Linked DNA regions of Sus scrofa. The protein of the gene in region 1 purifies or fractionates together with the protein of each later gene. This does not show direct contact. Links are inferred from orthologs where the notes say so. Each region holds a gene or a part of one and is shown on either strand. Other genes may lie near its edges.

Region 1 (3,500 bases):
CCTACCTTAAGTTGAACAAGGCAACACTGCCTTCATGTTTTAGTTCTCATAATATAAATGAACATCCTTGGACCAGATTTCCCTGGTGGCACGGCAGGTTAAGGATCCGACATTGTCACTGCTGTGGCTCTGATTGCTGTGGCACGGGTTTGATCCCTGGTACAGGAACTTCCTCATGCTGAGGACGTGGCCTAAATAAATAAATAAGTGAACATCCTTTTCATAATTTTTTAATGCCACATTTCCCACATTTTTGTGCTCCCCCCACCCTGAGTATAAAATTGCTCCTAGGTGTAGTGCTGAGGTGCTCTCCTGTGTTCCTAAGAAGAATGATGTACCTTGCAGAGGAAAAGTATACTGGATAAACTTCATAAAGGCATGAGTTACAGTGCCGTTAGCCATGAGTAAATAAGGTGTCTTTAAACAGTAACACAATACAACAAAGTTATTGTTTGATCCATCGATGACAAAGTTATGAGTTCCTCGCAGGAACTTAACCTTGAGTTTTCCCTGGGAACAGTGGTCACAGATTCACTAATTCAGTGTTTGCAGCAATTGTATGGAACATAACTACCTTAAGTAATGAGAATTTACTGTGTTTTACTCTTGTTGGCAACTATGTGTCCCTTGGAAAAAATACCCTTGTACAATAAAACTACTACATGATGAATAATACTTAAAATTTTTATAGTTTTGCATCTCCCTTGTATCATGAGAATCTGAATTTGTTAGTCATTTGTTAGTCAATATTTCCAAGATTTGGCAAAGTTAATGAAGGTTTTTGTTTTTCTTACATTTTTTTTTTCCCCCTTTGCTCAGCTTCAGATAAACCAGTCGATCATTTTCTGTAACTCCTCTCAGAGAGTTGAATTGCTAGCCAAGAAGATTTCTCAACTGGGTTATTCTTGCTTCTATATCCATGCTAAAATGAGGCAGGTGAGTATAAAACTTTGAACTTGCACAGGTTTTTAAATAATCTTTTTCTAAGTGTTTTTTGAATTTTTGTTTTGCTTTGATCCTCTTCTCAATGCCCTGAGTTTAAGAATAAATTATCCCTTAGGCAAAGGATCCTTAATTTTAACCTTTCTATGGGTTTTTTATTTTTAGTTTTTTAAATTATAGTTGATTTACAGTGTTTGGTCAATTTCTGCTATACAGCAAAGTGTCTATGATTAGGTTTTCTAACTATAATAGGGGTAGTAGTACATCTTATAGGGTTGTTAGGAAAACTGAGATTATATATGAGTAAATAGTGTGTAAATGCCAAGCATAATAGAAATGTGAGATTTTATTCCTTTAATCTTAGGTTTGTGCTACTATTTAATATAGTAATTACTAGCCACATGTGGCAATATAAATGAGTTAAAATTAGACAATATTTAAAATTTAGCTTTTCAGGAGTTCCCATCATGGTGCAGTGGTTAATGAATCCAGCTAGGAACCATGAGGTTGGGGGTTTGATTCCTGGCCTTGCTCAGTGGGTTAAGGATCCGGCGTTTCTGTGAGCTGTGGTGTAGGTCGAAGACTTGGCTCGGATCCTGCGTTTCTGTGGCTCTGGCAAAGGCCGGCAGCTACAGCTCCGATTAGACCCCTAGCGTGGGAACCTCCATATGCCAAGGGAGCGGCCCTAGAAGAGGCAAAAAGACAAAAAATAAAAATAAAAAGTAAAATTTAGCTTTTCAGTCACACCACATTCCAGGTGCCACAATACATGTAACTAGCAACAGCCAACGTTTGGAAAGTATAGATACAGAACATTTCCATCATTGCAGAAGGTTCTAATTTCTCTGTATACCTCCTCAGGTACCTTTTTTGGGGGGGGGCACACCTGCAGCATATGGAGGTTCCCAGGCTAGGGGTCCAACGCCAGACCCTCAATCCGCTGAGTGAGGCCAGGGATCAAACCCTCATCCTCATGGATGCTAGTCGGGTTTGTTAACTGCTGAGCCACAATGGGAACTCCACTTAGGTACATATTTTTTTCTTTAGTGTTTGTCTTAAGAAGAGGATGCACTCTCTTGTTGTAACAGAGAAATTCAAGACTACAACAAGACAACATTATGCGTGTGCGTGCTAATAGTATTATGAAATTTCATGACAGGAAAGCAGTTTCTGTAGGCTGACATTAAGAACTTAACCCACATTTGGTTTCCTAAGAACCTTGATATCATGGATCAGATACCATAATATAGTCACCTAATATTAAAATTATCACAAGATGAGTTCCCTGGTAGCCTAGTGGCTGGTTAAGGATCTGGCTTATTAACTCCTGTGGCTTGGGTCACTGCTGTGGCACAGGTTCGATCTTTGGCCCGGGAACTTCCACATGCTTCAGGTGCAGCCGAATTAATTAATTAAATGAAATTATCACAGGAGATGAATTTATTAAGCTGAAGAGAATATTTCAGAATGGAAGGACACTGCATTGAAAGACCAATTTGCTGAATGCTGTATTTATTGCTTTTGCTAGAGTCATTATGTATGTGTTTTCATTTTTGTTTTTTCATTAGGACGTAGTGACTTTTAGTGTCTGTATATATTAACTGAAAAGATAAATAGTAGCTGTTTTAGTCAAGCCAGATTTCTGGCATCCTCTGATACATTTTAAAAGTAAATATAACAAAAACATGCTGGGGAGTTCCCATTGTGGCTCAGTGGGTTATGAACCCAACTAGCAATTAAAAAAAAGCTGAAAATTATCACTTAAAATCCACTTCAGCAAAGAAGAGAAATACCTTTAAGAACTGAGAAAAATGCTACATATAGATGTGAATAGGTATGTGTTAGTTGCTTATTAATTCCCAGGGGAAGAAAATAATGATTCATTTTTTTCACGTTTTTATTTTTATTTATTTTTTATTTTTTTGTCTTTTGTCCTTTTTTTTCAGGGCCACACCTGAGGCACATAGACGTTCCCAGGCTAGGGGTCTAATTGGAGCTATAGCTATTAGCTTACATCAGGGCCATAGCAGTGCCAGATCTGAACTGCTTCTGCAACCTATACCACAGCCCACGGCAGCACCAGATCCTTAACCCACTGATCAAGGCCAGGGATTGAACCCGCAACCTCATGGTTCCTAGTCAGATTCGGTTCTGCTGTGCCATGACAGGAACTCCTCGCCTTTTATTTTTAACTTGTATGTATTGAGTTGGCTTTTGTCATTTATTTTATTTATTTCTTTTTAGGTCCGCATCTGTGGCATATGGAAGTTCCCAGGCTAGGGGTCGAACAGCAGCTTCAGCACCACAGCCACAGCAACTCAAAATCGGGGCTGTGTCTGCCACCTGCACCATAGCTTACAGCAATGCTGGATCCTTAACACACTGAGCGAGACCAGGGATTGAACCTGTGTCCTCCTGGGTGCTTGTCACATTCATTCCCACTGAGCCACGGCAGGAACTCAGCTTTTCTCTTATTTAAACAAATTCAGGTAAAAATATTTGAGTAGGATAAAAAAACAATGGAAATTTTGGGGCTTTGTGTGAGTTTTAATCAAATC
Region 2 (3,235 bases), on another chromosome or scaffold:
GTGCCAAAATATGATCTGTGCTGAGATTCACAAAAAATTGGCTTTGGGTTCTTATCTTTAATGAACATATTTTTACTAAAACTAGCCCATCATATTTCTTTTGAGGTTACTCTGGCTAGTGAAATTCTTTCTAAAGGCTGGAATGCTTTGAAGGGAGTTAGTTTTTCTACAGTAGTTTAGGTAATCCTATTTACTAGATTTTATAAAGCAAAGATGAAAGATCCTTGAGCAAGGAAGCCCAGGGAGCAAACTGAGTTGCTTCTGCTATCAGCTGAGAGAGATTGTGGTCATTTGGCCCTGAAGATAGAGCCCTGACCTTGCCACACACCTTATCCAGCCCCTTACTCCAGCTTTGGTAAAAATCTGTGCCCACAGATCACTGTGCCAGCTGCAGGGCAGTATCATGGTGAGGTTAGCCAGATGATGGCCTTGACCTAAAGTATGTGTATGTGTGCGATTGAATAGTTCTGTTTATGCTTTTAAGCTGCCTTTTCACAAAAACCCAGTGACTCTTTTAAAAGTAAATTAAAGCTAATTAGATTTTGATATAATGTGTACAGCTGTGTTAATGTGAATAAAATTCTAGTCTGGTTGGTAAGCAGTAACTTCACATTTATTTTTTCAAGAAATGGATGGTTTAAATGGAGTTGGATATAGAGATTGGCATTGAGCATCAGAACAGCTCAGTTGATCAACTGAGAGTTGTCAAGGCATAGAGGAGTGATCAAGATCATCACACACGTCTGTTATACACACTCCTCTTTCTTTCACTTTAGTTTCCACTGGCTCCCTTGCTCAACAGTATGCGCACCCTAATGCTACCCTGCACCCACATACTCCACATCCTCAGCCTTCAGCTACTCCCACTGGACAGCAGCAGAACCAGCATGGTGGAAGCCATCCTGCACCCAGTCCTGTTCAGGTAAGGAGGAACTCAGAGGTCTTCACCAGAGCTTCCTCATAATATTTGCTGAGTGTTTTTTTAGTGTCAGACAAGATGCTGGGTACCACGTGATCAAAATACCTAGCAGCGTATAGCTTTGCAGGCTGCGTCCCTAGGGTTTAAGTCACATATTGAGAATAAGGTGATTGGTTAAGTTCTGGAAGCTTACCAACACTGAAAAATCTAATTTAACATAAAGTAAGGAATTTGCTTGGGACTTTTTAAAAATTTAATTCCTAATGTTTATATGATGAGGTGTGGGGTTGGTTTTTTGGGGGTTTTTTTTGTTTGTTTGTTGTTTTTCTTGTTAGCTTTTGTAATCATGTTTGTTTGTTTGTTTTTGCTTCTTTTTTTCAGGGCCGCACCTTGGCATATGGAAGTTCCCAGCCTGGGGGTTGAATCGGAGCTGCAGCTGCCAGCCTACCACAGCAATGCCAGGTCTAAGCCACATCTGTGACCTACATCACAGCTCATGGCAACACAAGATCCTTAATCCTCGGAGCAAGGCCAGGGATTGAACCTGCATCCTCATGGATCCTAATTGTTACTTCTGAGTCACAATCCAAACTCCTATCATGTTGTTAGCAGGACACTTAGGGAGCTCTTTGATATGGATCAGTTCCCTGGGGCAATAGTCTTATTTTACCACCACTTGGTTGAGGGAGTGTAGGCTGAGAATCAGGCTTTTCCCCCCCAGAAAGGGATGTCTCTGAGAGGCCTCTCACCCCAGCCTGCTCTTACCACTCTGTACTTTCTCTTGTACTTGCCATTGCCCCTCCTTTTATAAGGATGGGCCTGAGTGGAGCCTGTTTTCATGTGTAAAACTCAGCTTTGTGTGTGACGCTTAACTGCTTTTCTTTAAAGAAAGTGATTTTCTCAAGTCTTTTGTCATTTTGCAGCACCATCAGCACCAGGCTGCCCAGGCTCTCCATCTGGCCAGTCCACAACAGCAGTCAGCCATTTACCATGCAGGGCTCGCTCCAACCCCACCTTCCATGACACCTGCCTCCAATACGCAGTCGCCACAGAATAGCTTCCCAACAGCACAACAGACTGTCTTCACGATCCATCCTTCTCATGTTCAGCCGGCATACACCAATCCACCCCACATGGCCCATGTACCTCAGGTAAACCTGCTTTAGCCAACTTTCTGTGAAGACCAAGTAGAATATGAAGGTTATCAGATAAACAGCAAAGAGCCAGATGCTCTTCAAGCTAGGAAACCTTGTGTGTGATACCATTTGCTTGTCTCCCTTTTCCTGCTCAAATACATGTGATCTGGCCCTAAATGAATGTTTGTGTGGCTTTGTAATGGGATCAGTGAAGTTGCTAATTAGTCAGTCTTTTAACATTTCTCAATTGAGACTTTAAAAATATCTTTGACTCTGGAATGCAACTTAGTTCTTTTCCTTGCTGTGTCTGCTTTGTTATGTTTATATAACTTCATTGTTATATATACGTATATATACATATATTCTTTCTCTCTGTCTTTCTCTCTGTCTCTCTCTCTCCCTCTCTCCCCTTCCCCCCCCCAACCCCTTCTCATACACACACACAGACACACAAGTCTGGTAAAGAAGATGGGATTTCACAAATTCTCAACTCTGAGGTGATTACCCTGGTCCTGTCCGCTTGAATGTTAGTCACATGAGTTCCAGAGAAATCTTTCCACTTGTTTTCCCTGGTTGTTCATACATCTGCTTTGACCATATGTTGTACTTCTTGAAAGGGCTTGGCCTTGTACATTGGTGCAGTGTAACTTGAAGCTGGAAGCTCCCAGGTGTTGTTCCCATTTTTCTTAAAGAGCAGCCCTGGAAGCACTTTGGAGCTCACCTCCAGTGTAAGCTTGTAAAGGTTGAAAGGTGTGTTTTCTGTCTGCATTAGCTGCTGACAAAAGTCCAATGCAATCCAGGGCCAAGTTGGATTGTCTTAATGAGGAGAAGGAGCTGCACTGAAGTTGGGCTCTAATACTGTCCTTTGATGCCCTCCCTGGAGCTGTTAAGGGTGAATCGGCTGTATTTGATGTCTCTTTTTGCTGCTTTCATAACAGAACTCTCTTAGGCGGGTCTAAGCTAGACTGCCTCACTGAACTCTGTTTCCTGTCAAGCAATGCACCACTGAGGCTCTGGCATGGTGGGGGCTGAAGATGTTGCTCAGTTGGAGCTAAATCTCAGAAGGCGACCTTGTAACTAGAATCCCACAGCTCTGGGAAGTTGGGGGCGTCCTCCCCAGCAAATGTGTAGGGTCTATAGTGTGGACTGCAGTGGATGATTTGCTTTTGATGGTGGGGAG
Region 3 (3,934 bases), on another chromosome or scaffold:
TTGTTGTTGCTATTTCTTGGGCTGCTCCCGAGGCATATGGAGATTCCCATGCTAGGGGTTGAATCGGAGCTGTAGCCACTGGCCTACGCCAGAGCCACAGCAACTTGGGATCCGAGCCGCGTCTGCAACCTACACCACAGCTCACGGCAACGCCGGATCGTTAACCCACTGAGCAAGGGCAGGGACCGAACCTGCAACCTCATGGTTCCTAGTCGGATTCGTTAACCACTGCGCCACGATGGGAACTCCAGAAAATTTCATTTTTGCACAACACCTTTCTAACTTACAAAGACCTCTTACTACCAAATTCCTGGAATAAAATATGTAATTAAATATACTTACTATAGGACAAAAGCAGGGTCAGGCCATATAAAAATTTTCAAACATACATATATGAATCTTAGTTTTCTCCTAATGCACTAGTTTTCCTTAAGTTACGTGTTTCATGAAAAAAAACAAAAAAAACAAAAAACTTCCTTCTCTATCCAGTGTTGCCATGAGCTGTGGTGTGGGTCACAGACGTGGCTTGGTTCCTGTGTTGCCATGGTTGTAGCGTAGGCTGGCAGCTATAGCTCCAATTCGACCTCTAGCCTGGGAACCTCCATGTGCCACAGGTGCGGTCCTAAAAAGACCAAAAAAAAAAAAAAAGTCCTTCTTCTAGGATTATTTTAAGCCTTTATAAAATGTCCACTTGTCTAACCATTTGAATTTCTTATAGTGTCAACTTAGAACGATAGATCATAAAGCTGGAAAAGACAAGGCTTAGAAAACACCAGATTTTCTAAGTGAGGCAAAAAGAGACCAGAGGAAGACAAAAGTACTTAATATCGCTTACCAACTGCACCTGACCCAAATGTATCATCATTGAATTGATCAATCTCTTCATCTTCCTCTCCCAGCCCCTGAAACGCATCTTCATCTTCATCCAGAGGACAATCCTCCAAAGACTTTAAGAGAGAGAGAGAGACTGATAATTCGTGAAGTTCACAACCTCACTTAAAAAATGTTCTAAAAATGTTCTTACCTTCCCAATCAACACAATAGCTTCATTATGACTTTTTGTACAGATGGCATTTTTTTCCATCCCCCAATTTTCCCGACATTGGAAGATTTGCAAATCGTTTCTTTCAGCTTCTCTTTCCTATTCCTTATTTCATTTAACCTCTTCCCCCAAATTTCCATTTCTCTTTTCAGCAAGAATCTAATAATAGCATTTCCTCATGCAACCAAGAAATTAGGCCTGTAACTTCCTTTCCATCACTGGTTACAATAATGACAAATGAAAGCAAACACTTTACATTTTGCTAGAGTTTTACATCTATTTTTCAATGAAATTCTTATCTTCCCCATATTCATGTCATCTTTTCAACCCTTTTATTATTCCCTTTTGAAGCTTTCTCATCATTTTTCCTCTTCCTTCTTTCTACAGGCCCAAAACTGGTGATAAAACAGAAAGCTAAGATTTCAATCACAATTAAGTAAACTCTTGAAAGGCCGGGATGTGGCAAGTTTAAGTTCTGTCTCAACTCTGACAAGTGATATCAACTTGGGCAAATCACAGCCGTTCTGATGAATTCATTCAATACCTCCTGAGCACCTACTGTGTCTCAGCCTGTATTAAGGCTCTAAGCCACAATCTCTTAGGTGGTAATACAAGGACACCACCACCTGCCTCAGCAAGTAGTGAGGATCAAAGGAGAAAAAGATTGAAGCAAACATTGTGTATTGTTAAACAATGCTAGATATCACTTGGGTATGTTCTACTTTAAACACTCCCCCCCCCATTTCATTTATTTTTCCAAGTTTTCTTTTCTTTGGGGAACTTTGCCCCACCACATCTCAGCATGTCTCTCCATGTTTACATATAGTCAGTTTGATCTCGAGCCATTCCCATCAAATAGCAAGAATACACAGCCCCAATTTTCAAATACTCAGAATCAGAATTCCACACTCTCTGGCAGGCACATTTGTGATAACACCTTGCCGGCTATTTCTCAGCTAGGCTGTTCCCAAAAGAAACGTTAGGCCAAAGGGCCATCTTAGGTCCTTCCAAACTTAGACAAAGCAAGCATGTGCAACTGCATCCACATCAGAGGCAACTTCCAGAAGCATTCCCAAATCACAAAGATCTACTTCACCGAATCACTGCTTTTTAGGTTGGAAAGGGATCGTCTAGACCCACCCTTTCTACAAATCCAGAAACTCTGTCTAGTGATTAGCAGTCGCTAAAGGTCATACAGAGACTCAGTGGTAGCGTCATAACTCTGTTGCTGTATTCCAGGGACCATCACGAACCCCCAGTTTCCCTCCATTCGCCCAGAAAAAACTTCTGCTGGACACGCCCCTTCCCCACTCGGAGCTCTCATCAGTAAACAGTCTTCCGCCCCAGTCAAAGGGCAAGTGCAGGCCCGGGTGACCTGACGGTTGCCTGCGAGTAAGGGGCTATGTGTAATTAATGCGAGATGATAGTTCTGGGTCTTAGGCGGGAAATGCGTCCCTGGGCTTTACCCTGTGGCTCTTCCTTAAGCCTTAAGTGCCACCGGGTGGGTGCAAGGCTCTCAATGCCGAGCCCCACCGGGGGTACGGTGGGGTGGGGGGTGGTTGGTTACCGCACTTAACGGGCCCTCCCCACCCCCAAACAGAGGTCAACTCTCCTCAGTAGCAACTGATAGGACAGTCCCGCCCCCACGAAGCCAGCTCACAGCCCTTGGACTAAACCCGCGACCCCAGAGCCCACACACTCTGCTCGGTCCTGCCGGCCCCTCCGCCCCCCCTTTTCCCCCCGAGGGGCGCGGACCGACGCGCTGAGCGTGAGAGAAACAGAGAGGGGGGCGCGTGCCGGCGGGAGGGAGGGGTCACTTCCGGTCGCAACAGCTCACCTCGTAGCGGAACATTCTTGGGGAGGGGGGGGAGGGAGCGGGGAGGGGAATGGGGGAGGGAGGGAAGAAGCGCTGACTCTCCGGGCTCCTCCGCGCGCGGGTCCTCCACCGGCTCGCGACCCCTGGCCGCCGCCGTACGCCGGAGCGTGCGTGGGAACGTGCGCAGGCGCGCCTCGGGGAGGGCGGCCGCCCCGCTCCGCGCCCGGCGGCGGCGGCTGCGCGGGGACAGATTTGGCGTCCCGCTTCCTAGTCTCGGCGGCGGGAAGGAGGTCCCGTGGCGAGAGACTGCGCACGCGCCACCCGTCGGGGGCTTCCTCGCGATCCGAACCTGTAGCTCCGCCCCCGGCTTCTCTGCGCCCGCCCGACGCTGAGGTTCGAGTCACGAGTTTTCCGTCACCGACGGGGCGGAGAAAAGCCTTGTGATTGTCACAGGATATGGCTTTGGAGAGTCCCAGGCTTAGCTTAGGCTGGGAGAAATGGACATTCCTGGGCACTTTTTCCAGCGTCCAACACCGTCTTCGGGTTGCTTGGCGGTCTTCACGACATACGATAGGCACCGAGTGGAGGGGAAAAAAGTTAAAGTTCAGGTCATCGAAAGGGGCTGAGTTCGTCGCCACTTTCAGCGGCACGTCACCCGCTGAGTCAACAGCAGGTCAGGGCTGTGATTTATGTGTCTCAGAGATGAAGGCTTTTTTTTCCTCTTTTCTTTAAACCGAAGGCTTATTAGGGAGGTTCAACCAGGGAGGTATTTTTAGGGCTCAGGCACATCAAGCGTGTGGAGTGAGGGAGCCAAAAAAGGCAGCACAGCCGTGGGCAGCAAGGTCATCGAGGCTGAGTGCGCCGTAGGGTGACACCACCTCCTTAGAGGATCAGGACCAGAAAAGCATTTGTCCAGGTGCCTTGGCAGCCTGTTTTCAGAAGTCTCTTTGGAGAACTGTTATCTCCGCTAGCCGAACTCACTCTTTCCCCTTGAAGACTAAACTTGGCTACGAAATTTAGTCCTTGCACCACGAATTCTTGTGCAGTTTCGCAACTCCTTTCTCCGGTGTCTTAAA
Region 4 (4,075 bases), on another chromosome or scaffold:
TCTGGAGTGAAGAGAGAGAAAGACACTGGAAGTTTATCTGGGATTGAAACCACAGACTCATCACTCCTCCACTCTATTTTCCACACTGCAAAGGGTAATCTTTTAAAAATTGAACCGGTTCTATCCCCGGCCCAGTACAGTGGATTAAGGATATGGCGTTGCCTCAGCTGTGGCGTAGGCTGCAGCTGTGGCTAGGATTTGATCCCATATGCTGCAGGTGTGGCCGTTAAAAAAAAAATAAAGTTCATTAAAAAAATGTAAATCTGGGAGTTCTTGTGATTCAACAGGTTAAAAATCCAACTAGTGGGAGTTCCCATCTTGGCTCAGCAGTTAACAAACCCGACTAGTATCCATGAGGATGCTGGTTCAATCCCCGGCCTCACTCAGTGGGTTAGAGAACTTGGCATTGCTGCAAGCAGTGTTGTAGCTCACAGATGTGGCTCTGGCCTGGTGTTGCTGTGGCCACTGCTTTGAGGATTATGCTCATGTCTCCTTAATATCTGGTCCCACGTTACTTAATTTTCCAGTTTCCTTTTTCAACCTCCTCCCTCTTTAATTTCATACTCCAGACATGCTGAAGTTTTCCTAACTTGTCACATCCTATGCCCCCTGCCTAGAAACCCATCACCCAGTGCTGAATTAGATGTCATTCCTATCTACTCTTAGTGCCCCGTGCTTCACCTAAGAGATCTAATTGTCTGAATCTACCACTAGTTTAAACTCCTTGACAAGGGCAGGAAGTAATTTCATTACAGTTATATCGAAAACACCTAGCCTAATGTCCTAATGACCAACTAATTTGAATGAATGAAGGCTACCTTCCTTGTCGAGTGGGGTGGAGGATTTTGAACTAGACTCTAGGAACTTTGGCCTTCAGACAGTCTCTTTGCTGCTAGTTTAAGAGTCCCGTTCCAGGGCGTGGAGAAATTACTATATTGAAAACCATATAATATAATTTAGAATTAGGCAGATATTTATCTCCAAACTGCTATCTTTAACGCCTATCAGGCTTTTATGTAAATCAGATAAGCTCCGAGAGTAGCTCCCCACGAAACTACCACCAGCTTCAGCGAAGTCCCGGGTCTACTCTCGGGATTTTTTTTTTTTTGCACTCAAGACTCCGCCCACAGGCCCCCGAATGGCGGAAGAACTGCACGCTACGTCGTGACTTCTCACAAGACTGCGGAGGCATCCCGACGCTACGCCGGCGGCGTAGGCGGGGCGGCCGGCTCTTCCTTCCTCTCTGCTGCTTCGGCTCCTCCCCCAGCGCTTCACACGCTCATTGTGAAGCGACAGCGGCCGGCAGTCTTCTGGGCTGCTTGAGATCTAGAGACCCTAAATCCTTGGCGCGCGTGAGCGCCCGCGCTGCTCCTCTCCCACTCCAAAGGCTAGAGGCGCGAGATTCACCTTTCTTTATTCCCTCCTCTGTCGCCCGGAGCTAACCGCCCCGGTGCGCTCGGACATCTCGCGCCGACGCTCCCTCCTCCCCGCCCCTCCCCCTTCGGGAGCTCCCGCCCGGGCGCTCCTCCCCCTCCCTTTTCCCCGGCGACGCGCACGCGCGCCAAGCCGGCTCGCGCCCTCTCGCTTTCCTCCGGCCCGCGAGACCCCCTCCCCTTCCGCCTCGCGGCGCTTCCTCGCGCCGCGGTCTTCTCTATCCACCCCCGACACCGCGGGGCTCGCCCCCGCCCGCCAACGGCGGGTCCCCAGCTTCCCAGTCCACCTCGCTTCCCGCGCTCTCCGGCGGGGCCCCAGCCCCGGCCTCCTCTCTCCCTCCCTTCCCCCTAATTCCCTTTCCGGACGCTGCCATCATGTTGAAGCCTCAGCCGCCACAACAGACCTCCCAGCCCCAGCAGCCGCCCCCCACGCAACAGGCCGTGGCCCGACGGCCTCCTGGGGGCACCAGCCCTCCCAACGGCGGCCTCCCGGGGCCCCTGGCCTCCACCTCGGCTCCCCCAGGGCCTCCCGCGGCCGCTTCCCCCTGCCTAGGGCCTGCAGCCGCTGCCGGGAGCGGACTCCGCCGGGGAACCGAGGGCATCTTGGCGCCACAGCCGCCGCCGCCGCAGCAGCAACATCAGGAGAGGCCAGGGGCAGCGGCCATCGGCAGCGCCAGGTGAGAACGTGTGGGTTTCCGGGCGCCGGAGCCAAGGTGGCCGAGACCTGTACACCGCGCGAGGCAGACCTCTAGCCTCTGGCCACCTTTGAGGGACGCCAGGGGGAGTGGGGAAATCCCGTGGAGCTGGGGGTGGGCCCTTCAGGTTCTAACAGGTCGGAGGAAAGCCTCCGCGGCTAGCCACCGGGACATTGAGGGTGCGCGCTCAGCTCTGAGCGACCAGTCACTGCTCGGGGCTTGGGCCTTAAGGGCAGGCAGGGCGCATCCCGCCAGCGGCGTCGGAACGAGTTGGGGGGGTGAAGAGGTGATAGGGGTCCCCGGCTCCATTACCACGAAGGGTCTCGCGGTCCGGAGCTTCAGCCAATGGGGAGTCAGCTGCGGGAAGGGGTCCCTGGCCGTAGCCAATGGAGGGGGGCGCGCGGCCCACAGTTTGGCCAATGGGGAGGGAGGGACTTGGGAGCGAGTTGCTACCTCCCCCTTCCCAGTCCGGCCAGTAGGAATGGAGCAGAGTGGGCGGGGGGGACGGAAGGAGGGACAAAACTGGGAGGACTGCGGGCCGGGAACCTCCAGCGCGCGCGCGCGCGCTTCCCGTACGTGCGCGCGGATGCTCAGTCTTATGACCCGGCCATTCTCGAGCCCCGGGTAACATAGAGGGCAGCTGCCGGGAGTGTGCTTGGACGGGTTCGCCGGGTGTTCTTGGATGAGTGGTGGACACCCCACTGTGTTTCTTCTGTTTGTGGGTTTATAGAATTGAGAGTGGAGGTACACGCAGGCGCAGTGGGTTGTGATCGCGGGAGGGGGGATTTTGAAGAGGCCCTAGGGCTTTAGTGCGCAGGCGCAGACCGGGCGAGGCCTCCCGGTGGAGAGCTTTTGCGGCTGCGCTGTCCCCCAGCCCCGCCAACGGCCCCCTGATCGTCCTCTTCAACCGACGGTTACATCAGCCAGCGAGGAGCAGGGTTACCAGGCGATTGGTGACCCCTTCCAGAGTGGGTAATAGGCTGAATGAGTAAAGAGATCGAGAGGGTGGATTGTAGAGGGAGTACCCCTCCTGCCAGGGTTTAGGGCGCAAGGCTACGGGAAATGATGGTCTTTTCTGTTGGGGAGGTAATAAATGCATGCCTGATCTAGGTACTCACTCTGTGAGCTTCTATCTTTACATCTGGGGTGGGCTGTTAGTTATCAAATATTATAGCATTTGTCTGTTGGAAGCATGCAGCCCTGGCCCTCTTGGAGAAAGTGAAAAGGTTGTGTTGAATTGGCTTTTGACAACCCTTGATGACTGAGGTCTGTTTTGCTGGCAATTGGAGGAAATGGCTTTTAATGTCCTTCTTGCTCTGAAGGTGAGATCTTGAAAGTAGTGTTGATTAATTGGTTTGTAGCCTAAGTGATTATCTTTACATGATATATGGTTCTAACATACCAGGTCCTTTGAAATCAATGGTACAAAAAGGATTGAGCATGAAATAACTAGCTCCTTGTTTCCTTTTCTTATAGAGGACAAAGCACAGGAAAGGGACCCCCACAGTCACCGGTGAGTGCCTTCTCCCCCTCACCCAAGGCACAGAGACCTAAAAGATGCACGGATGGGGATGTAGGGCAGATAAGGTGCAACAATAGTCAGATTGGTTGGGAATAGCAGGGGGCCCAGCACATATAAGGTGGATATTAGTGGACTGTGGGCATTTAGAAGGAAGGTGAGATGTTGACTGGCTGTTCCTTTATTTGTCTCTCCTTTGTTACTGACAGGTGTTTGAGGGTGTCTACAACAATTCCAGAATGCTGCATTTCCTTACAGCTGTTGTGGTAAGTGGGTACCTAAACTCTTAGGAATGTAATGCATCCGTTTGCTGGAGGCACTCGTCCTTATTTTCCCGCTCTTTCAGGGCTCTACTTGTGATGTAAAGGTGAAGAATGGTACCACCTATGAAGGTATCTTCAAGACACTGAGCTCAAAGGTCAGTGTAC
Region 5 (4,021 bases), on another chromosome or scaffold:
TCTTATTCCATAAACACTGATGGTGAACCCGATGTATGCTAGGACCAAGGATGAGCATGGGGCTTTTCTATCTAGGGGAGGAGTATAAGTCCTCAAGTTATCATGGCCTCTTTAAGGCCAATTAATACGCAGCCCTGGGTCAGCATAGAGGGACTCTATGTACTTGAGGGAGGGCAAAGGAAGGGTCAGGACAGACTTTACAGAAGAGGTGCCATCAGAGCTAGTGCGTGATTTATTTACTTATTTTCTTTTTCTTTTTTGGCTGCCCCAAGGCATATGGAGTTCCTGGGGCCAGGGTTCAGACCTGAGCTACAGTTGTGACCTACACTGCAGCTGTGGCAATGCCGGATCCTTAACCCACTGTCCTGGGCTGGGGAATCAAACTTGCATCCCAGCGCTTCAGAGACACCACCAATCCCACTGTGCCACAATGGGAACTCCAGAGCCAATGTGGCAATAACACACAAAGATGGGAAGGATGGAGGGAAAACAAGGCTACAGAGGTCTCATGTATGAGGCTGGTTGCTTAGATTTTCCTGTAGTAATAAGAGCCATAAGAGTTTTAAATGGGTAAGTGAATTGGTCTGCTATGCCAGAGGATTGACTGCTCTAAAGTAGCATGCAGGAGAGTTGAGAATTCAGGTGAGAGGTACCAGGGCTTAGACCAAAGTAGAGGAGGGGCTGGAGAAGAGGGGCTGGGCTCCTAAGGCATGGAAAGACATGATAAGACGTGAGAATAAGAAAGGAAGGAGACTGCCTCACACAGAAATGGCTCAGAAGAACCCACCCTAGAGGAATGGACATGAAGGAGCTGGACAAAGAGGAGAGAAATTATGGGGTAGGGTGTGAGTCAGGAGAGACAGCATTTCAGTTGTCTGCCATTGACTGATTCAAGTACCCGCATAGGTTCTGACACCCCTCCAAAACTCCCAGGTGGCAAAGAGACTAGGGCTTTCTATTCAGGAATATGGCAAGTTTTTCATCACAAAAGAGCCTGGGGTCTGACATGGTTCTCCAGTGAGTAGAGACAAGCAAGGGTAACTTGGCAAAGTGGGAAATCAAGTACCAATCAATAAACAAGGAGTTAAGAGGAAAGCCCACAGGCCTCTTCACTTACATTAGAGCCACCTTAGCTGCTCAGGGTAAGCTGACCACTTTGCCTCCCAAGCAGGCTACCATGAGGACAAACAAACAAACTACACAGCATTACCCACACCAGGCTCTACCAAACCTTTGGGGAGACCAGTCTGCACAGCAGCTGACATGAGAGGCCCAAGCCAAGCTTATGAGTAAAGGCAGCAGGCACTCCAGGCCTGGGGAAAAGGACTCAGTGGTAGGCAGCATGTGGATTTTCTATAGGAGGGAAAGGTCCTTAAATCCAAGACTGGGCACCAGTGCATGCTTCCAAAAGGAGTCAGTTTGGGCCTTCCAGCAGGTTTAAGAACAGGATCTGAAGACACACCAATTCTCAGCTCTGGCCACTGCCCATCCACATCACCATCACCTACCAGTTTCTCGACCACTACAGCTTTTCACAGGCCCCTGAACCTGCCAGGCAACTTTGGTAGTCACACGTGTCATTTCCTCTTTGTAGAATGTTTTTTCTGACATCCAAGCCTCTGTCCAAGATGCAAGACTTAGCCTAAACATTGTCTCCTCTCTCAGATCTGTTCTTAGGCACTTTCCAGCCCCCTCTCCACCTACCGTCTCCCCATCACAGTCCCAAAACCCTTCTTTCAGAGACAAGAGCATTATATTACACCTCATTAGCTCTTGTGTCCAGGGGGCTCACTGAGGGCAGGAGCAGCTGTGAAGCACCACTGCAAAGTTTAAATGAATGGAAATAAACTGGGGCTTGCAGATCTTTGTAGCCTAATCCAATCAGGATTGTGAGCTCGGTGATATATCTTAACGCCAGAGAGGACACAGAACTGGGGTTGGTCACCTTCCTCCTGAAAATGGGTTTCAGGCCTGGAGTCTGTTCAAGAAGGAAGGGCAAGGTGCAGAGGGGGATCAGCGGCTCCTCAGCATAAGCGCCTAAATCTAGACCCAGAATTTGGCATACAGAGCCCAGACTAAGCGTCTGAACTAGGGCAAAAAGGGTAGGAAACCCGGACCAGTCCCAAGAACACTAGAGACCCTGGGGCCAGGAGACCTAAGGGGCTCTGCGGATTCAGAGAAGGGGCCTCACTTTCAGCCAAAACGCTGAAGGACGAGGCAGAACGGCCGGACTCCGGGACAGGGAAGGATTGCACACGGGGGTCTGCGCCCTTTGGGAAGCACGCTCAGGGATGTGCCGCTCCCACCCTCGTCGCCCTCGCCGGCAGAAAGGATGAAGAGCCGGTCCTCAAGGACCCTTGGGCCATGAAGGTGGTCGAGGCTCGCGCCGCCCTTCTGCTTGGTCGCCGAGGGCCCACCCCCACTCTCCCAGCTCACCCCCCGCGGGCCGGTCCAGCTTGAGGATGTCCCGCAGGTGCTGCGTGGCGTCCTCGATGTCGATGCTCGCGCAGGAGGAGGCCATGGGCCCAGCCGCGGACGCCCGGTCCGCACCGCGTTCGTTCCGCCGACGCCGCGCACCGTCCAGGGGCGCACAACCCAGCCAGGGCCAGACAGTGGGACGCCAGTCACCACACTCCGTCCACCTGAAGCTCGCAAACCGCCGCCCGCGCCGCGTCCCTGAGCCCCGCCAACCCCACCAACCGCCTCCACTTCCGGCCCGCCCGAGCTTCGGCTCCCGGAACCTGCCCTGGGCGGAGAAGAAAGGTTCCGGGCTGGGGGTGGCCGCCACGCACCCTCCTGAAGCCCGTCCCTACCGCGGTCCCGCCCCGGGACTAATAGGGTCGGGGTGAGGGGGAGGAGTTCCGCAGGGCTGAAGGAGAGCAAAATGTCCAGCTACCGGACCGCCCAAAGCTCTGATCGCCTCAGGATATCCCACCTGGTCCAAATCCACTCCCTATGGGCCTAGGACCAAGTCAATTCGGTTGCCAAGGTGAATCACTCAGATGCCCCAGGAACAAGTTGGATTGACAGAAGCCTCGGTTTCCCCTTCAGGAAGCGTGTGGTTGTAACCCAAGGCCTGACGGGATCTGAGAAATCCTGGACCCAGGAATTGCATGGGCAGGGGAGATTGTCTCCACAAACATCACATCACTCCTTAATGTCCCCCAGCATCCCCCTGCATGTCTTGGCACCCTTGGGCAAAAAGAAAGTAAACCATAGTAATATAAACACCTCTTTATTGCAGACATTTCAGGCACAGGTACATGGAAGAAGCTGTATTGCCGATTTTATACAGGGTGGTTTAAGAGGCAGCAGGTTTCTGCCTCTCCCCAACCTCCTCCACCCCCCAAATAACACAGCAGCCTAGAAATCCGTCTCACTGAAATCTCCTGAGTATGCTGTCTTTCCAAACAGCACACCATCCAGCTCTGTGCCCAGGGTAGCCAGGCAACAAGTGGGGGTCTGAGTTAAGTCCTTGGCTTCCATCCAGAGTGCAGGAGGGAGGGAGGTGGTGTTCAAGGTCAAGCAAAGCTGTGGTGCCCTCACCAATCCTAAAACCCCTACAGGACACCAGCCCAAGTCCTTGGATTGGTCCTAGCCTGTGGTTGCTACCCTGCTACCAGTTTTACACCACCAAGGCCTCAGGGCTAAAGGGCCAGATTTGTATTAGGCAAGTCCTGTTCCCCAAACTGAGGAGCAGAAACTGCCTCAGTATTAGAGATTTCTTGGGATTTGAAGATAATGTGAAGGGGTGGGTGGGTGTGTGGTAAGGGAAGGACTAGGAAGAGGCCTAGAGATGCCTTGCAGAGGTCTCAGAGGTGAGAAATCCTAGAACCTGAATCACTCAAACTCAGATTGCGTTCTTTTACAGCTCTAAATCTATACTCCAACTCAACTAGGCCTGGATCTGTGGGCATTGGAGGCTGGCTATTCAAGGCACTCCCCTTTGGGCAATGATATCCAAAGCAGCTGGTACAGCATCTAGGCTGCCCTCTGCTTGGCCTGGGATTTATGGGGCACA
Region 6 (4,194 bases), on another chromosome or scaffold:
AACCCTCTGTGCCTTAGCAGAAACTCTGCGATTTTGAACTATATAATGGCATTCCTTTTTTTGGCAGTGCCTGTGGCATGTGGAAGTTCCCAGGCCAGGGATCGAACCTGTGCTGCAGTTTCAGCCTGCACCACGGCTGCAGCAACACCAGATCCTTAACCCACTGCACCACAAAGGAACTTCCTCATGGCATTCTTATACTGAATGTTTATAGATTTATGCAAGTGAGAAGTATAATGGCATTAAGTCAGGCAGTCACATTTTTTTTTTCACTTTTTCTCTTCCTTTATTTAAGAAATGGTTCTTGAGCATTTGCCATATTAAAGGAATTATGCTAGATGATTAAAGGGTACAAATAGGAATAAGACACGGTCCCTGACTTTTCTTTATAAAAATCACTGGAAGTGGATTTGCATATAATCTCCTTTCTCTTTGGAGTCCCTTCCATGGCTGCTCTGTAATGACGTCTCTGCTCCCCTTTCAGACCCCCAACTGGGAGAAAAATTAGCCACTGTACCCTCTCTGCCTCTTCTTGACCCTGGAAGCATCGAGTAGCTCCATCTTTTCTCAGACATCAGGAGAAAGGCAAGACTATGAGGTCAAGGGGAAGTCTGGGGGCTCCACACTCATCTCCTCTGTATCAAACCGTCCATCCTTCCTAACCAGGGGGGGACTAGAGAAGAAAAACAGGTCAAATGACGGGAAGACTCAGTACACTGTTAGTGACTTACTACACTCAAAATTTAAAACAAAGCAGGGCATTTTGAAAAGGCAGGTGACTTAAAACAATTCTGCTAAAATGTCAAGGTGCTTTTTATTACCAAATAATGCATGTTAAGAGACACCCATAAGCCCCACTCCATCTCAGAGTTGTATCCCTGATAATGGGGTAGAGTGAGGTCCAGGGAGGAGGTGAGGAGAGGCTCAGGGAGGAGTGAGGCTGAGGGACTGAGTGAAGTTCTTTGCACATATTACTTGGTAATAAAAATGCTGAGCATTTATTGGTTACTTTTCTTAGGCTGCAACAAAATGCCCCATGGAAAATGGCTGAAGCAAAATGTCAAGTGTCTGGTTTTGAAGCAGAGGACAATGCTTTGTGTACAGTATTTTTGGCAGCATGATCTCCCCCACTCTCCAAGTCACCCAGGCTTATAACCCTGGCCCTAGGAAAGGAAACTGCACGGCAGCCTTTGTGATATGGGTTATCTACAATCCCACTGTACTTACAGCTGCAAAAAGAACCTCTCCTCCTCAGCATAATATTCATATATCCTTTAATATTTTCTTCATGTATCCATCAATACCACCTTTATTGGACACTGCTAAGCCACAGAGACATAAAAATGAATAAAATAGCTGTGCCCTTAATAGTCCACTTCAACAAGCATTTACTGAGAGCTTCCCACTTATTAACACCTGCAAAGTGCTAGCATATACCTATGTATCTGGATTTCAGGGAAAGCTTTCAGAAGATGCCAGAATTAGGTCTTAAGGAACTAGCAAGAGTTTCCTTGAAGAAGTGGAGGGAGGGAAGGATATATCCAGGCAGGTATCAGAAGTACACGGGGGAGGCATAAGCTAGAAAAATAGGCAAGAGTCAGAACACAACAGGCCTGTATACCAACCTAAGGAGTTTGGATTTTATCATGGTGAGAATCGGCAACAATTGGAAGATATTAAGAAGAGGACCAACATGCATAGATGTTTTGTCATTGGTAGGCTCACCCAGGCATAGACTGGAGACTGAACTGGAAGGAAGCCATGCCCTGAATGCAGACAAACTAGTTAGGAAGCTATTGCCATGATCTTGGTGAAAAATGATGAGAACATAAACTATGTCAGAGGCAGAGAGGATGGAGAGCAGGGACCTATTTGAGAAATATTCTATAAATAGAGTGACAGGACTTGACTGCAGGACATGTGTGGGTGAAACCCAGAGTTTCAGATTCCTCTCAGCTTCCTCCTTCTAGCTTAGGCAATGCTTTGGAGAGCAGTACTAAGGAGTGGGGTCGGGCACATAGAAGATGCATATTGATTTTTTTTTCTTTCTTTAAGGGAGGCTGGGGAGACCTGCAGTTGGAGGGGTGTATGAATCAATCAGCTAACTGGACCCTGCGCTTTTTAGGTTCAAGACATTTACGAGACCACTCCATAAGCATGTGTACCTGGCACTCTCATTTCGAAAGAAACAAGGCATGACGATTTGAAAAATGACATTTTTATGTTAAAAAAAAAACACTGAAAATATAGGGTTTAGAGTTAATAAAACATCATACTACTAGCTGCCAGTCTGACACTGCAGATCAATGTATTTCCTATCTTTAGATAGGTTTTCGCTTCACACCACTTGAAAAGAGCGGTGTACCTGGTGCTTAGATCCAGGAATTCCTTTTAGCGGGTTTAAGAGCAAGAGCTGAAAAATGCGCCCTCCCGTGGTAGTGGAATGAGGGGGTTCTGGCACCCTTTCTACCACCAAACAAAGCCCTGTAAAGAAATGCAATTTATGGGGATGAGAAGGCCACAATGCTGGTACCGCTACACCGCAAAACCAGAATGAACCCTCCCAGGCGTCGGGACCCCTTACCTGTCACGTCGGCCGAAGGTAAATTTCACTTTCCACTCAACAAAATACGACTCCTGATTTGACAGCCTACAGTAAACCCCACTCGGTGACAATTAAAAACCCTGCAAGCCAAAACGCGTACACTATTCGGATCCTCTCCAGCCGGCAGGGCCGGGCTCCGACCACGTGGGTGGTTGAGGCCAGCAGAAGGCACCCGCGAAGGGCGGGAGTAGGAGGCGTGTCCCTGCGGAGGGAGGCGGGCCCTGCGCAGTGGGCGGGGCTTGACGACCCCGGGCTGCGGGCCTCCGCTCGCCTACTTTCTCCCTTTGCCTTCGCCCTTCGAGCCGCCACGTAATGCCACGTCCCCGCGCATGCGCATCTCGACTGGTGGCGGCGGCTGTTTCCGGGCTTAGGGGGCTGGAGCGGCCGCCGAGCAGGAGGCGGTGGTGGCGGCGGCCGCGGAGTGCAGAGTGCGGGCTCGGAGGCCAGGCCCAGCGGAGACCAGAGGAAGTTATCTTTTTTTTCCCGAAGGGGTAGGCAGAGCCGGTGGCTGAACGGCAAGATGAATTTCCTCCGCGGGGTTATGGGGGGTCAGAGTGCCGGACCCCAGCACACAGAAGCCGAGACGGTGAGAGGAGCGACGGGTCCGGGACTTGGGAAGGGTCCGGGCAGGAACCGGGACGGAGGACTTGGGGCCCGGGAGGTCACCTCCCGCGCCCCGCTGTGGGCGGGGAGTCCACACGCCGCCTCCCCCTTTGCCGGCGTGCCTCCCCTTCCTCTGCCGAAACCCCCGAGTTATATTCCCTCACGCCCCCAGCGCAGCCACCAGCGCAGCGGCTCGGCCCTGCTGACAGCAGCTGCGCCCGAAGCTCCGCAGGCCGCTTGGTGGTGGTCCGAGGGTGATAGCGCCCGGGAAGTGATTGATCCAGGGCAGAGGTGGCCTGACCTGTCTCCCGCGCCCTCGGGCCGCGGGCCTGCCCCTCCCGTTGCGCCAGTGTCTCCACTGGCAGTGAGGAACCTAAAGTCCAGCTCTGTTCTTCGCAGTCTGATATGGGCTTTGGGGAGGACTGCAAGAAGGTTTAAAACCCAGCTGTTGACCGGAGCAAGTGGCTAAGAATAATACGATAGTTTGGGACACAAAGCCACCTGCCCCTGTCCCTTCAGCTGGAGAGACCGGTCGTTCTGCCGGGTGTTATTAGTCCGGACCCTGTTTCAGGCTCACCCAAATGCTTAGGAAACACTAGCCCGGACGTTGTAGGGATCTTTCGCGCTCAGTCCGCTTTGGGAACACATTTCCTTTCCACTCACCCCATTCAGAAGTCTGAACTCGTGATGACATGATTTGCAGCGTCTCTTTTAACAAATTGTGCGCTCCTGCACACAGTAGTTGTTAAGTTGGTTCTATTTTAGGTTTAGGAAGTTTGGTTAATGTCTGTTAGAAAAGCGTGTATATGACATTTTTTTAAAGACGCTTTTACGTTGAGGGTAATTTTAGATCTCCCCAAAAGTGACAAAGTATGACATTTTTAAGGTAAACTTTGGGTAGTGTTCATAGACATGACCTGGTCGTCTGCAAACATGTCCTGTGTTGATGGGATCCTCAGGGGTAAAATAGTAGCATTCATTTGTCA
Region 7 (4,296 bases), on another chromosome or scaffold:
CCCCAGCCACAGCCACTTGGCATATGAGCGGCGCCTGGGATCTACACCACAGCGCATGGCAACGGCAGATCATTAACCCACTGAGCGAGGCCAGGGATCGAACCGCGTCCTCATAGACACTAGTCTGGTTCATTACCGCTGAGCCACGACGGGAACTCCCAGCTTCCACTATTTCCTCTGGCCCTTAAAGCAAGAAATACTTTACACCTTGATCAAGTACCCATTTCAACACATCTAAGTGAAATAAACGCTTCACAGAGCAACGGCACTCTATGCGGTGAGCTCTCTGCTATTTCTCTCATTCCGGTTCATTTCTATAAAATGCTGGTCACCCTCCCTGTTTTTCAGAACCCAATGCTGATCCCTGATCTGATGTCAGGAGGGACAGACAGACAAAAAGCAAGCGCCCACGTAAGCGCTAATGGAGTAAAGGGCTGTGCAGGGCAGAAGACGGTCTGGCGAACTGGAAAGGGACGGTCTGCTTCTCCATTTTGCCGCGAGGCCTCTGGGCTGGAGGCAGCAGCGAGCAGGCCAGGTCAGGCGGCCCTTGGAAGCCCTGGCGGGGCGGCTGGGATTTATTTTAAGGGACAGGGAGCGCCACCGCCGCTTGGGGGAGGGGCGGGATTCAATGAGACGATGCGCTCAGCACATTATATTTAGCGGCTGACGCGCCGGGAAGCGCTAGTTCCCCGCAGTTACTACTGCGCCCCACCGGCGGAGGAACCCCTTCCAGCCTTCACCACACCGGCAGGGACCCCCGGCCCCTGCCTTTGCCCCCCCGGACTCCCGATCTTCACTCCACGGATGGTGACCTCGTGGGCAGGGAGTCTGACCCGCTGCCTTCACCCCCGCCCTGGGCAAGAGACCCCTGGGGCCTCATTTTCACCCCAGGCGCAGTGACTGAGATCTCCGTGGGCAGGGACTTCGCTCCCCGGAGAAGGGACCAACCCCCAGCCTTCGCCCCTGGGGGAGGGGAGAATTGGGGCACACGCCCCAATTTCTCCAGCCAGGGCGGGGGAAAGCTGCCGGGCACACTTTCGTAGGGGGGAAACCTAAGACCCGGGAAAGGCGTCTACAAGCTCCCGGAGCCTAGGTCCGGAGCAGACGAGCGCGCAGAGCGCGCGGGGCTTCCCGTCCCCGCCCCTCTCCACACACACACGTGCGGCTCGCCCCCCAGCCCCGTCCCCGCCCCGCGCACGCGCACTCCGCCCCAGTCGATTCCCACCCCTCCCCCCAGGCCCGCCCGCCAAGTCTCGTGCTCCCACCCCGCGCGGAGCCCGACGGGAGCGGGCCGAGAAGTGGGGCGGAGAGCAGGGGAAAGCCCGCCCCGGCCGGCGGCGCTGGGTGCGCAGGCGCGGAGCGCGGGCCCGCCCCCAAGCCGGCGGCGCGGCCATATTTAAAGGGAGGCCGGCGCGGCGAGCCAATGGGCGGCGAGCATGCGGGGGCGGGGCGTGGCGGCGCAGGCCCCGGATGTGGCTGCTGCGGCCCCTCCTCCCCCGCGCGTCTCTCACAGACCCCGGCCGCGCGCTGCCGCCGCCGCCGCCGCCGCTCGCTCGTTCGCTGGTACCCGCGCAGGCCCTCGGGCGGCGGTGAGGCGGCGCCGAGGCACAAGGGCGGGCGGCGAGGCGACCGCGCGGAGGCGAGCGGGCCGGGCCCGGCTGGCCGCCGCCATGAGCGGCTCCTCGGGCACCCCGTACCTGGGTAGCAAGATCAGCCTCATCTCCAAGGCGCAGATCCGCTACGAGGGCATCCTCTACACCATCGACACGGACAACTCCACCGTGGCGCTCGCCAAAGGTAGCGGCCCCGCGGCCGCCCCAACCGCCTGGCCCCCGCCCCCCGCCAACAGCCGGGCCTGCGCCGCCGTCCTCCCCGCCCCCGGCGCGCCCCCTCCCCCGCCCCGCTTCCCGGGCCTCCGCGCGGCAGCCGCCGCGGCCCCTCGGGGCTCGGCCTGCACAAAGGGCGCCCCGGCCCCCGGTCCCCGGCGGCGGCGTTATTGTGCTCGGCCGGCCCGCCCAGCCCGGGCTTGGGGTGGGGAGGTGGGGCGGGTCCAGCTCCCGCGGCGCCGCCTCCTCCGCGGCGCAGCCCACCTCTGCAGGTGGGGGGCCGGCGTTGCCCGGCCGCCGCCTCCCCACCTGCCCGCGGGCGGAGGGGCCAGCTGGCGCGGAGCACCCGGCCCCTTCGGGGGAGGGGCGGGGCGGGGGGCCTGGGAGTCTCCCTGGGGCCTCCCCAGAAGCCTGGGGTTGGGAAAGCCCGACTCCTGCAAGCTTTCTGGAACCTATTAAGCGGCTGGGGCCTTGAGCCTGAACAAATACCACGTCTTAATGGATTCTCCTGCCAGGGTAGGAGCGTCGGCTGGCGGCTAGGAGCGCCCATTTAAATCGCTTTCCTGCCCTTATTCAGACGTTCCGCCTGCGGATTCACCGTTTTGTGGCCGACCCCTCCCTGCACGGGCTGGTGGCCGCAGCGAAGTCCCTGGGAGACTAGAGGAAGATGGCTGTGTTGAGGCTTTCCCGGAGTCCAGTCTTTCTGAGGGTGTGGAGGCGGGAGGTGGCCTCAAACTTTCTTTGTCTTCCTTCGGGGAAGGGGGCTGGTGTCATTCCCCGCCTTTTAGGAGCACCGAGGGCAGCCCGGTCTGCAGAAACCCTGTTTGTCTACCCGGGCTTGTCGGGCTCGAGACGCCGTGCTGGGCTTTTAAGGCTCAAGGCACAGCACACAGGCTTCTATGTCAGAGGGAGTCCCAGGCCTTCGGGTCGCAGTTGGTTGCCAGCTCTGGGAATGGCTCGTCCTAAAGCCTGGTGGTGAAGTTTGGATAGACTGCGTTGGTCCGGGAGAGTGTAGCTTTATGAGGGAACGTGGTCGTGTGTAGTCTTGCCTTTTGACTGCATTTGGCTTGAGATCCTGGCTGGAGAAACGGAGGCCCGGAGTAGCCCCTGGTCCTCAGCAGGAGTGTGTTCAGACTAGGTAGAGGCTGCCTGGAGCCCAGCTCTGCCCCAGAGACCCGAGAAGGAGATGCTTGTTTGGGCTCCTTGAACCCTGCCGATTGGGTCAGTAGCCTGGAAACGCGGCCCCCACCCCCACATGGGCGCTGGCGCTGCGGGGCCCCGTTCACAGCCCCTTCTCCCGCTGTTTCCGTCGCGGCTCCTCCCAGGCTGGTTGTGGGCAGAAGGGCAGGGATAGCACGACGTGCTGGCTCTTCTCAGAAGGAAGCAGACTCCTCGGGGGTGACGTGTGGTGAGGTTTCTGTCTAAAGGCAGCCCTGGGGCTGTTGAATCTGCACAGTCAGATGTGCACGGGGTCTGCAGAGCAGCTGTTGTTTGGCTGGGAGCGCTGGTGGCCGTCTGTGTTGGGACGTGAGAACGTTGAGCTCCGTGCGACTGTCAGGCTCTGAGTTGACTCGGCACCTTTTGGAGCTTTGCCCGCCGGGGTCGCGTAGGGATCGTCCACTGGGCGGAGCCGCTGCGGGCGTGTCGGGTGGCGAAGCCGGTGCCTGGGGGCCAGGACCGGCTCCGGGAGGACAGCGACTTAGCCCCTTTTTCCTCAACTCCAAAGTGAGGTCCTTCGGCACTGAAGACCGGCCCACGGACAGGCCTGCCCCGCCGAGGGAGGAGGTTTACGAGTACATCATCTTCCGGGGGAGCGACATCAAGGACATCACGGTGTGTGAACCCCCGAAAGCCCAGCACACGCTGCCCCAGGACCCCGCCATCGTTCAGGTGAGTGCAGCACCTGTTCTGTCCGTCGTGGGCCTTGTCTCGGAGGCACGCTGGTTTCCAGGTGGAACTCGGTGTCGTCTGGCCAGAGGGCTCCTCTCGAGGAGCAGCTCTTCGAGAAAAGGGCTTAAGTTTTGTCTGGGCTGTTGGGGGGGGGCAGTGTCTTTAGTCGGGCAGCACCCGCGCTGCCAGGACGGTGTTTGTCCTTTGGGGTCGGCTGAGCCTGAAGCCCCTGTGGCATGCTGTGAGCGGCAGAGATGCTAGCGGGGACTTGGGACAGCAGGGTTGGCTCTCCCAACTCCGTCCAGCTGTTAACGCGGCGGCGTGGGCACTGAGTCTGCAGCTCCCACCACAGGCCTGCCTGCTGTGCCGCGTGCTTGCCCGGGATCGCTCGGGAGTCCAGGTTCATGCTTTCATGACTTGGACATTTGGATGCTCACTGGCTCCTTTGCGGTTCGCCCTGCAGGAGGCTCCTGGGCTGGGTGTCCCCCCCCAGAAGGTGGGGGCTTGTGCTCTGGGGGCACCTGGAGGAGCCCCAGGCCAGATGGAAGGTTTGGAGTGAGGGTCCTTGGGAACTTGAGGA

The links.
Region 2: the proteins of DDX6 (region 1) and ATXN2 purify together in Homo sapiens (affinity purification with mass spectrometry; 6 studies listed by BioGRID and IntAct, counting the BioPlex papers as one, with this or other methods). This does not show direct contact. The link is inferred for Sus scrofa from reciprocal best matches to the Homo sapiens genes DDX6 and ATXN2.
Region 3: the proteins of DDX6 (region 1) and PATL1 purify together in Homo sapiens (affinity purification with mass spectrometry; 6 studies listed by BioGRID and IntAct, with this or other methods). This does not show direct contact. The link is inferred for Sus scrofa from reciprocal best matches to the Homo sapiens genes DDX6 and PATL1.
Region 4: the proteins of DDX6 (region 1) and ATXN2L purify together in Homo sapiens (affinity purification with mass spectrometry; 6 studies listed by BioGRID and IntAct, with this or other methods). This does not show direct contact. The link is inferred for Sus scrofa from reciprocal best matches to the Homo sapiens genes DDX6 and ATXN2L.
Region 5: the proteins of DDX6 (region 1) and EDC4 purify together in Homo sapiens (affinity purification with mass spectrometry; 4 studies listed by BioGRID and IntAct, counting the BioPlex papers as one, with this or other methods). This does not show direct contact. The link is inferred for Sus scrofa from reciprocal best matches to the Homo sapiens genes DDX6 and EDC4.
Region 6: the proteins of DDX6 (region 1) and G3BP2 purify together in Homo sapiens (affinity purification with mass spectrometry; 3 studies listed by BioGRID and IntAct, with this or other methods). This does not show direct contact. The link is inferred for Sus scrofa from reciprocal best matches to the Homo sapiens genes DDX6 and G3BP2.
Region 7: the proteins of DDX6 (region 1) and LSM14B purify together in Homo sapiens (affinity purification with mass spectrometry; 4 studies listed by BioGRID and IntAct, counting the BioPlex papers as one, with this or other methods). This does not show direct contact. The link is inferred for Sus scrofa from reciprocal best matches to the Homo sapiens genes DDX6 and LSM14B.

What each region holds. Positions count from the first base shown.
Region 1 is NC_010451.4:46,036,337-46,039,836, reverse strand, and holds part of DDX6 (probable ATP-dependent RNA helicase DDX6), read left to right. Parts: intron 1-819; coding exon 820-936; intron 937-3,500.
Region 2 is NC_010456.5:32,667,848-32,671,082, reverse strand, and holds part of ATXN2 (ataxin-2), read left to right. Parts: intron 1-776; coding exon 777-922; intron 923-1,842; coding exon 1,843-2,070; exon of another isoform or gene 2,071-2,501; coding exon 2,502-2,552; exon of another isoform or gene 2,553-3,235. UniProt on the Homo sapiens protein: Involved in EGFR trafficking, acting as negative regulator of endocytic EGFR internalization at the plasma membrane.
Region 3 is NC_010444.4:11,826,961-11,830,894, reverse strand, and holds the start of PATL1 (protein PAT1 homolog 1), read right to left. Parts: upstream 2,801-3,934; 5' UTR 1,085-2,800; coding exon 1,025-1,084; intron 948-1,024; coding exon 836-947; intron 1-835. UniProt on the Homo sapiens protein: RNA-binding protein involved in deadenylation-dependent decapping of mRNAs, leading to the degradation of mRNAs. Acts as a scaffold protein that connects deadenylation and decapping machinery.
Region 4 is NC_010445.4:18,504,817-18,508,891, forward strand, and holds the start of ATXN2L (ataxin-2-like protein), read left to right. Parts: upstream 1-1,275; 5' UTR 1,276-1,808; coding exon 1,809-2,110; intron 2,111-2,737; exon of another isoform or gene 2,738-3,450; intron 3,451-3,604; coding exon 3,605-3,641; intron 3,642-3,856; coding exon 3,857-3,913; intron 3,914-3,993; coding exon 3,994-4,065; intron 4,066-4,075. UniProt on the Homo sapiens protein: Involved in the regulation of stress granule and P-body formation.
Region 5 is NC_010448.4:28,488,206-28,492,226, reverse strand, and holds the start of EDC4 (enhancer of mRNA-decapping protein 4), read right to left. Parts: upstream 2,801-4,021; 5' UTR 2,522-2,800; coding exon 2,437-2,521; intron 1-2,436. UniProt on the Homo sapiens protein: In the process of mRNA degradation, seems to play a role in mRNA decapping. Component of a complex containing DCP2 and DCP1A which functions in decapping of ARE-containing mRNAs. Promotes complex formation between DCP1A and DCP2.
Region 6 is NC_010450.4:71,360,675-71,364,868, forward strand, and holds the start of G3BP2 (ras GTPase-activating protein-binding protein 2), read right to left. Parts: upstream 2,801-4,194; 5' UTR 2,585-2,800; intron 1-2,584.
Region 7 is NC_010459.5:61,552,460-61,556,755, forward strand, and holds the start of LSM14B (protein LSM14 homolog B), read left to right. Parts: upstream 1-1,496; 5' UTR 1,497-1,670; coding exon 1,671-1,797; intron 1,798-3,552; coding exon 3,553-3,716; intron 3,717-4,296. UniProt on the Homo sapiens protein: mRNA-binding protein essential for female fertility, oocyte meiotic maturation and the assembly of MARDO (mitochondria-associated ribonucleoprotein domain), a membraneless compartment that stores maternal mRNAs in oocytes.